2 linked regions of the Oryzias latipes genome follow. The protein of the gene in region 1 interacts with the protein of each later gene in a pairwise test. Links are inferred from orthologs where the notes say so. Each region holds a gene or a part of one and is shown in the gene's direction. Other genes may lie near its edges.

The links.
Region 2: the proteins of lhx4 (region 1) and chchd2 interact in binary tests that used the Homo sapiens proteins (3 or more experiments, as listed by UniProt). The two-hybrid records come from large-scale screens. The link is inferred for Oryzias latipes from reciprocal best matches to the Homo sapiens genes LHX4 and CHCHD2.

Annotation. Positions count from the first base shown.
Region 1 is NC_019862.2:32,187,393-32,191,753, forward strand, and holds the start of lhx4 (LIM/homeobox protein Lhx4), read left to right. Parts: upstream 1-1,326; 5' UTR 1,327-2,625; coding exon 2,626-2,704; intron 2,705-4,361. UniProt on the Homo sapiens protein: May play a critical role in the development of respiratory control mechanisms and in the normal growth and maturation of the lung. Binds preferentially to methylated DNA.
Region 2 is NC_019871.2:16,549,853-16,554,390, forward strand, and holds chchd2 (coiled-coil-helix-coiled-coil-helix domain-containing protein 2), read left to right. Parts: upstream 1-1,622; 5' UTR 1,623-1,769; coding exon 1,770-1,819; intron 1,820-2,525; coding exon 2,526-2,784; intron 2,785-3,263; coding exon 3,264-3,432; intron 3,433-3,745; coding exon 3,746-3,753; 3' UTR 3,754-4,121; downstream 4,122-4,538. UniProt on the Homo sapiens protein: Transcription factor. Binds to the oxygen responsive element of COX4I2 and activates its transcription under hypoxia conditions (4% oxygen), as well as normoxia conditions (20% oxygen).

The DNA of each region.
Region 1 (4,361 bases):
AATTACCCAAATGGACAGGAGCTGTCAGGAGACAATAACTATTCCCTAATAGAATTTGCCCCCCAAGTGCAATTTAATTTTCTCCTCGGTGCTCCCTCCTCGGGTTTCCTCCTCGCCTTCCTGCCTCTCCCTCTCTCTGCTCTGGAGGCAAAAGCTTGGGGACTCTCGCTGCCATCCCTGCGAGGCTGTTTTCTCCCTGGAAGCCGGAGAGAAGCGGGGACCTGCTGCTGTTCCTCTGCGAACCCTGAGCACATCCTGCGGAAAAAAGGAGGAGGAGGAGGAGGAGGGAAAGGAGGTGGGAGGAGAGAGGCAACAAAATCAGCCATGATTAGGTAGGTCTGCGCGATGCCTACTGGTTCATCACGCATGTGGTAAAGTTCTGAGATGTGAATTTAAATAACTTCAATAACGAGCCTAAGAGGCCAAACAAATGTTGCACCAATGTGAGCGCAGATTTTTCGTTCCGGCTTGGATACGCGGGTCCAAATGCGCGCACACTGGAGCCCCGGGCTCTGTCAAACGTTCTGATTTGTCTGGTTGCGCGCGCAGTAGGGCCGCGTGGCGTCTTTAGGGCGTGCGGATGAAGGCGCAGTGTGTGTCTGGCTCAGTCAGACGGATCTGTGAATCGCGGATGTCAATGAACTGGTCCACTGAAATATTAGATCTAATTAGAGGTGGCTGGGTCAGCGCTGGTGGCAAAGGAGTCGCCCCCCGCTTGAAATATTGCCCAATAGCTGCTTCTCAACAAATTATTTCTCCTTTCGTCTCTGCGAGTATGAACCCAAACCTTTGAAATGATAGTTTTCCTCGTCAAATGATGAAATACAGGCCAAATCATTTGGCATGCAAGCAGTGACTGTTTCTGACCTTACAGATCAGTGGGGAGGTTTTTAATTCTAAAAAAGATGTCGTTTCTTGGACATGTCGTTTTGAAGATGAAAAAATAATCTGCATCCCATCATTATATGTCCCACATGTGCGTGCGCGCATCTGATCTCTTTCAGCTTTTTACATCCGTCAATTATTGTAATTGTGTTGCCCTTTTCTGACGAGTTAAGAGCATTTTTATCTGCGTTTTTTTCAGGGCAGCTTAAGGGGCCTCGATTACAACAATCAGAGTAATTGAAAAGTGAACTGGGTTGAATGATTTGGAGCGGGAAGGTGTGGAATGGAAATAAAATAGTGGGGGGACGCACTGATGAAGGCTGAAGAAGAGGAGAACCTCGTGGCAAAACGGCTACCTTGAAATCTGGAGTGGAATACACCTGTCGTCGTTTTAATCAGCTTGATGCGTTTTTACAAAATAAAATCCTAAGAATAGCTGCTGTGGGATTGAGAGTCTTGGTTTTATAATACCATAAAAGAATAAGTCCATATAGGAAACACGGTTGGCTTTGGATAAGGTAAATGGAATAAATCATGGCTGCAATTCTAGACATTTTTCATTTTATTAATGACAAAAAAGACAAGAATTCACTCTGGTGTGACCCATATTTGCGCTGCGTAAATCCGGAGAATCTGAGCGGAATCTGTTCCAAACGATTTTTTAATGCAAAAAAAACCCTTTGTTTTTATCAAATTGGCTAAATAATCCAGATGCGCCGTGACGTGCGCGTGCGCTTGTGTTTGGATCTGCAGACTGACTTGATGCAACAGCTTGTTTTGGAGGCGGCACAGCCTCGACAAACAGACTGCGCGCTTTTCTTTCCCTGCCTGAAGTAAATTGGAAGCGAAGATGGAGTTCATCTGGTCTGAACTTGCAGGCCTCCGGAGGGAATATGTTCCCGGCGAGTTCAGCCTCAGACGACGGGCTGCAAAATGAAGAGTGTCAGGAAGACTGCGCGTGGACTCCTAATCTTCATTCCTGTTTCTGCGCGGTCAGGAAGCGCGCACAGATGATGCTGACCCCGAATGTGTCAGAGAAAATGTTCCTTTCAGCTCCATCTGTTCAATTCTACAGGAAATGTAGCTTTAAAATGAGTCAAATTGACCTTTTTGGCCTTTTACTTGAAATGCCTTATTACTTCACCCGCTCACACATCAAAGTCTCACTCTGCACTTTGAGAACTGATTAAGGAAAAACCATCAGGGCCGCACAGACAGGACCTCAGACGATCCTCATTTTCCGACCTCTCCTCCTCCCCTCCGGATCGGCTCCTGCTGGCCCGGGGCCCCTCGTGAAGCCACTGCAGTGAGCTATTTCTGGTCTCCGTGAGCACGGTTCCCCCTCTCCTGAGACAGTTTTCATGGCCCACGTTCGACGCCTCTCCTCCTCTCCTTTCTCATCGTCGCCTGCACACCTATCCAGGATGCTTTCCGCCTCTGGGGCTTCCCCTTCTTGCGCTCCGATTGGCTCCATGTGAGGCTCTGGCGCGGTGACGTCATGCCCCACCGCCCCTGCAGCGCTGAATGGACCAAGCAGCCTTCTGATCCACTCCAAAAACAGCTCAGCACGGCGCGGCGCCGCACGGCACGGACATCCCTCTGGAAACGGAGGAATAATAGGGATTTGAGCCCACAGTGTGCAGGGTGGACACAGGCCTCAGCACCTTTTTTTGTTTTTAGCCCCCATACAGGGCAGGCCGGAGGAGTGGCGCGCGCGTCTGTATCCCGGTTTGGATCACAATGATGCAAAGTGCGGCGGTCCTGCCGACAGAGAGTCCCGTGAAGAGTTTACCGGAGATTCTCGGAGTGCCACTGCAACGTAAGACACCTTTCTGTCCTCCCCGCGTTTCTGCTGAGTGTCTGGCGGGAGCCGCGCGCGCTGTGGGGGTTTGCAGCATGGAGAGGGATTTATAAACGGGGAGACATTGAGGTGAAGAGACGGAAGTCCTGCAGGCCGGTGATGTGTCATGCTGTGAACACGCGGGCATCAAAAGTAGCTTTAGATGACCTTTTCCCGCCTTCTTCTGTCCCATTTAGCAGCCAATCGTCCTGACTGAGAACAACAAACGGCGCCATTTGATCCAGTCATATTGAATAAAATCAAAAGAATCATTTCTCTCTGTACTTTCATGTTCTCTGAGCTGTTAATTTGCAAACGAGCCTTCTTGGTCAGGAGATCAGACGCAGTTGTCATCATCAGCCATCAGACAAACGCTCTCTGACTTTGACTGACACTCATTGTTGGGTCAAATTAAAGGCCTCAGACGTTCAATTGGATCAGACAGCAGGCCTCAAACAAGTGCAACAATTACCAGGACTTGTTCAAATAAAGATTTCCAAGAGGTCATTACTGCGGATTTAGCAGCAAAGGTGAGAAATTCTTCACATCTGTTTGCTGTTTGTTAATCTGTGGGCAGCTGATGTTCGTCCTCTGACCTCATTATTCACCGGAAGGTTTGAATGTACAGATGGAAAAGAATCCACAGACACTGACAACCACGAGACTAAAATATTGATTTTAGAAAACACTGACTTCAAAAGATTAGAGAATATTCACAATTGCTTTAGTCAAATTTCATGTTTGCAAAATAATTCTGAATTGTATTGTTGTTGTTTCTTATGGAGGCTGCACAAATATGTGCCCAGCTCGTTCCAATCTGCACGTGCAGTCAGATTACTCGTCAATTTTAGATGCTGGATTCAGATTCTGCCACTCAGTCCCTGCAGCGCCGGGATTCATCGAGCCTGGATTATTTCAGGAATCAAACCGTACGGACCCCCCGACTCAGAACACCCGCATCCCAAACCAGAGGTGCGTTTATTCTCCAAAGGAGCAGCAGATGCTGCAGCCGGGTCTGAGCGCGTGCGCCTCCGCCACGTGAGCTGACGGGAGCGACGATGAGGAGTGGAGAGGTGGCAGCCGATAATCAGATAGGAAGGAGACCTCCCGAATCCACGCGCTCCTCTCCCCACACACGCGTGTGCGCGCACCCTGCACGCTGCCAATCCACGCGCTGCCAAGAATCGTGCTGCTGTCCTTTCAGCACCACTCCTCTCCGCCTCCCGAGCAGGCGCGTGGCTCCGGATGCCTCTCCGTCTGCGAAGGCCGGAGCTCGGATTCCCGCTCCCGCCCTTTCTCCTGTCTTCTGCGGCTCGCGCCAGTCCAGTTCCGCGGGTCTGCTCTTCCCGCCGCTGCAGTCACACCGAAACACCGGGACGTTTTCCGCAGCTTCAGCAATTTCATTTGAAAAACATGGACGGAGAGTCAGAATGGAGGGTTTTTCCCCACAGTTAAATGTAAATTTATCTTCGTATTTTAAAAATAAAAATCACATTTTAATGATAATTTATTACGATTTAAAAAAATATTTTCTCCAATTAAAAAAAGAAAGCTGTGTTTTTTTGGGGCGGGAAGGATCTTGACTTGCAGGCTGCAAAAACCTAAATTAAATATGATAACTGTAACGTGATTATTG
Region 2 (4,538 bases), on another chromosome or scaffold:
GTGTGATTTTTGATCAATGCAGGGGATTCGCATAAAGAAATTGTTTATAGAATCTTCCTGTTAATTTAAGACATGTACATTCAGGATATTGCCCTCTCATCCTCTACTACCTTCTGAGGTGTTTCCCATTTTGACCTTGGGGTTTCCAGTTCCTATTCTGCACACATGTTCCTGTATATTATTCCAGCCACTTGATTGTGGCGCTCCATGTATGCTTTACCTGCCAGCATCTTACACCCTGCAGTTATGTGCTGGATTGTTTCAGGCGCCTCTTTGCACAGCCTACACCTTGGCTGTATATGTGGGTGTGTGGATAGATAGATATAGTCATGTGCTCAGTGAATGTCTCAGACAATGGAGAGCTGAGGATGCAGTGCTGGAGGACAGATCCTCATGGGAGGACAAACCCCTGCATGGGATGTACCACCGGACCATAACTGAAGTGGCGGATATCAAGAAGTCTTACTAATGGCTAGAAAGGGCTGGCCTACAGGACAGCACTGAAGCACTCATCTTAGCAGCTCAGGAACAAGCCCTGAGCACCAGAGCGATAGAGGCTCAGATCTACCACACCAGACAAGACCCAAGGTGTAGGCTGTGCAAAGAAGCGCCTGAAACAATCCAGCACATAACTGCAAGGTGTAAGATGCTGGCAGGTAAAGCATACATGGAGCGACACAACCAAGTGGCTGGAATAATATTCAGGAACATGTGTGCAGAATATGGACTGGAAACCCCAAAGTCAAAATGGGAAACACCTCTGAAGGTGGTAGAGAATGAAAGGGCAAAGATCCTGTAGGACTTCCAGATCCAGACTGATAGGATGGTAATGGCGAACCAACCAGACATTGTAGTGGTGGATAAAGAACAGAGGAAAGCTGTTGTGGTGGATGTGGCAGTGCCAAGTGATGGGAACATCAGGAAGAAGGAACATGAGAAACTGGAGAAATACCAGGGACTCAAAAGAACTGGAAAAAGCCTGGAAAGTGAAGGTGACAATGGTGCCTGTGGTAATTGGAGCACTCGGGGCAGTAATACCTGGAAAGACCTCAGACCTCTCAGTCCAGAAAAGCGCAGTGCTAGGAACAGCTAAGATACTGCGCAGGACCCTCAAGCTCCCATATAGATAGATAGATAGATAGATAGATAGATAGATAGATAGATAGATAGATAGATAGATAGATAGATAGATAGATAGATAGATAGATAGATAGATAGATAGATAGATAGATAGATAGATAGATAGATAGATAGATAGATAGATAAAAACAATGTGTAGAGAATAAATTTACCTAACATAAAAAAGAAATACGGTAAAAATAAACGAAATAAGAAATAGGGAAAAAAAATAACTTTAATTACTACAGTCTTGGAAAGCGTTTTAAAAAAATTGTTTTTTAAAAGTAGACTATTTAACAAACGTTATTATACATGCGAAGCATCAGAAGAGCAAAGACGGGGATAGTAAAACAAATACAAAAAAATAAAATAAAAAGACAGTAGGCGAGGAATTAAATTGTTATTACAGAGCACATTTGAGCGAATGACAACACAATGAAAATAGGGGAAAGTTCAGTGTATCGTCTCAAAATAAAGTTACACAAGCGTTTCAGCTGCACCGGAAGTTAGCCGGCAGACAGATGATGTAACACATAGAAAGTTCCGGATGAACCAAAGGTCGACATAAAACTCGCAAGCGACGTTGCGGCTCCAGATTATCGCGTCAGTTTTTCATCAAACGCACAGCTGTCCAACCTTAATATTTAGGTATGCCAAGAGGAAGCAGAAGCCGGACATCTAGGATGCCCGCCCCGGCCAGGTAACGATTTCTATTTAATAACTGGGATGAAAGGTGGTTAGATAGTGTGCTGCGTGGGATAGCGCAGGCTAAAATGTGCTAATAGTGTTTCAGTGTCAAATGTCTGTGGGAGCCTGCCAACAGAGTTGAGGATTATTTTAACACATTTAGTATCCTAAAATGCCCAAATCTGGAGATAAAAACGTCTATTTATGTTCAGACAGGATTGTTGAGGCAGGCCAAGAGTTTCTGACAAATGTAGTAAAGGTCAAAGTGTCAAACCTATGTATTTTAAAATTCAATTTTATAGAATGGTATAACAATACGTCATTAATGTTCATCTAAACTCATTGAAAGGTTGAGATGCTTTGCATTCATCCAAAAAATGAACTTTAATAATGTTCACAGTGTGAAAGTATCTCTATAATATAACACGTTTTAGTGACAGTTTACTACAAAACTTGGGAAGATTTTTCTTACGTAATTGGCTTCTTTAACCTTCAGTTACATAACTGTCCTGACAAAACCTCATCATGACCTCCAAAACCCACAACATCAACTCTGACACACAATTTTAGTGAGAAATGATCTCTCATTAGACCTAAGCGTAGACCTGAACAAGAGTGATCATGTCAACAACAATAACTCAAAAAATATTACTGTCCTGTAATTTTTAGGTACGGAACATGCCAACTTTGATATTTAAACTAAGGTTTACGCTTTACAGCCGGGCGCCACCATCCCCACCACCCATGGCCAGAGCAGCACCTCCTCCTTCCCACGCCCCTGTCCCAATGCAGGCTCCTCCATCCGCTGTGGGAGCACCGGCTGCTGCACCCAGGCAGCCGGGTATGTTTGCGCAGATGGCTACTACAGCAGCTGGGGTGGCAGTGGGCTCCGCGGTGGGACACACTATTGGCCACGCGTTGACTGGTGGGTTCGGTGGAGGACAGTCAGAACCAGCCAAGCCCGACATCACGTACCAGGTAAAAGGAAGAGCATCTGCCAAAGGACCAGAATAGTATCGGTAAAGATTAGGTTGTCTAACTCCTGGCAATGCCAGCCGTTCAGAGCTCAGCTCTAACAGGAAAAAAGGCAGTCAAATTTACAATTAAAATGTTGCTAAATCAGTTGGAATTTTAATTCATAAAATACAGTTTTGATCTGATTACATTGATTATTTACATGGTGTTATTGTCAAATTGAGACTAACTAAAGCCAAAGTATATATAACTTGGTTTTTTCTTTTTAGGTTTCATCATTTTATCATGTCAAAGATAAACTGAGCCTTTAAAGTAAACATTTTCTTTACATTAGCTCATAAAATACTTCTATATTTAATAGAAGCTGTTGTTGTATTTTTAACTGAATTTCATTTTAAAACATGTTTTACTCTAACTTGTTTTGAAAACAAATGCCCCTTTTTTCAAAATTATTGTCTCTAATCTTTCATTCTGTTTGTCAGGAGCAACATCAGCAGCAGCCACAGTCTTTCTACCAGCAAGAACAGCAGCAGCAGCAGCAGGTTTGCTCCTATGAGCTCAAACAGTTCATTGAGTGTGCACAGAACCAGAGCGACCTGAAGCTCTGTGAGGGATTCGGTGAAGTACTGAAACAATGCAGGTTTGCAAACGGTAAGCAAATGTGGAAATACATTTTGTAATAAATAAAAAAAAAGTAGATATGTACTAAGGGGTTGTTATATTTTTCATCCTCCTGTGTGTTCGATGTTTTGTAGTCTGGTTTTTCCTTTTTTATTTTTATTTTATGTAAGCTAAGCATGGGAAGACTTTCTGTTTTTTCAAAGATTTATTAGGTCCAAATTCTTTGTTGGAATTTGTCAGGGGTGATGGGAGTTGTAGTTTAAACCCGTTTTACTTATGTGATGCTGCACATTTAAAATGATAAAAATAAATGCATCTTAATGAAGTGTTTTCTTCTCCACAGGACTATGATGAGGTGAAGACAAAGCGCTGCAGAGAAGAGGAAGTCACAAATGTTATCAAAGTTTTAGCAGGGTATAATTATTAAGGGATCAATCAACAAAACAAGCTCATTATTTAACATTTGAGTTTCAAGCATCATTTGTGAAGACCGCTGCAGAGCTTAGAAAAATGTTTATATACTTTAGTGTTGTCATTTCCTCAGTTTGTAATTATGATGGGAGCTTGTGTTTCATTAGCATCCATGCTTTTAGTTTCTTCTCTGATACTTCAGACTCTGCAACATGAACCTGTAAGAACAAAAAGTTTGCATTTTCTGGATGAGCATTGCTCAAGGTTTGATTGTACCAGTAAAAAAATAAAGTTAAATCTAAACCTGATTTATTTCCTTGCCTCTTCAATCACACGTTGTGTTTCTTATTTTGGCCTGCTAGTTCTTTAAATAGAAACTAGGAGCTGTTACAACTCAGCGGTCCAGCAACTGTTGTGTCACTCCAGAACGGTGCACGTGCAGTAACCTGTCTCTGAATGCTAAAGGTGAGAAAAGGGACCGTCTTCTCACAGCATGGATCCCAGTTTTTGTTATGTTGATTCGCCTAGGCTGCCTGAGAAGCAGCCGTGTATTTTTGGCGTGTGACATTAAAGCTCGTCTTATACGACGTGGAAGCGGCCACCCCACACACGCGTGCAGCAGCAGTCGGAGCGGACCGGACTGGTTTTAATCTCTGCAGAGCGATCACACTAAGGATGAAAAGGATTTTTTAACACGGACAAGAACGGTGAGTGTTTTCAGGTGT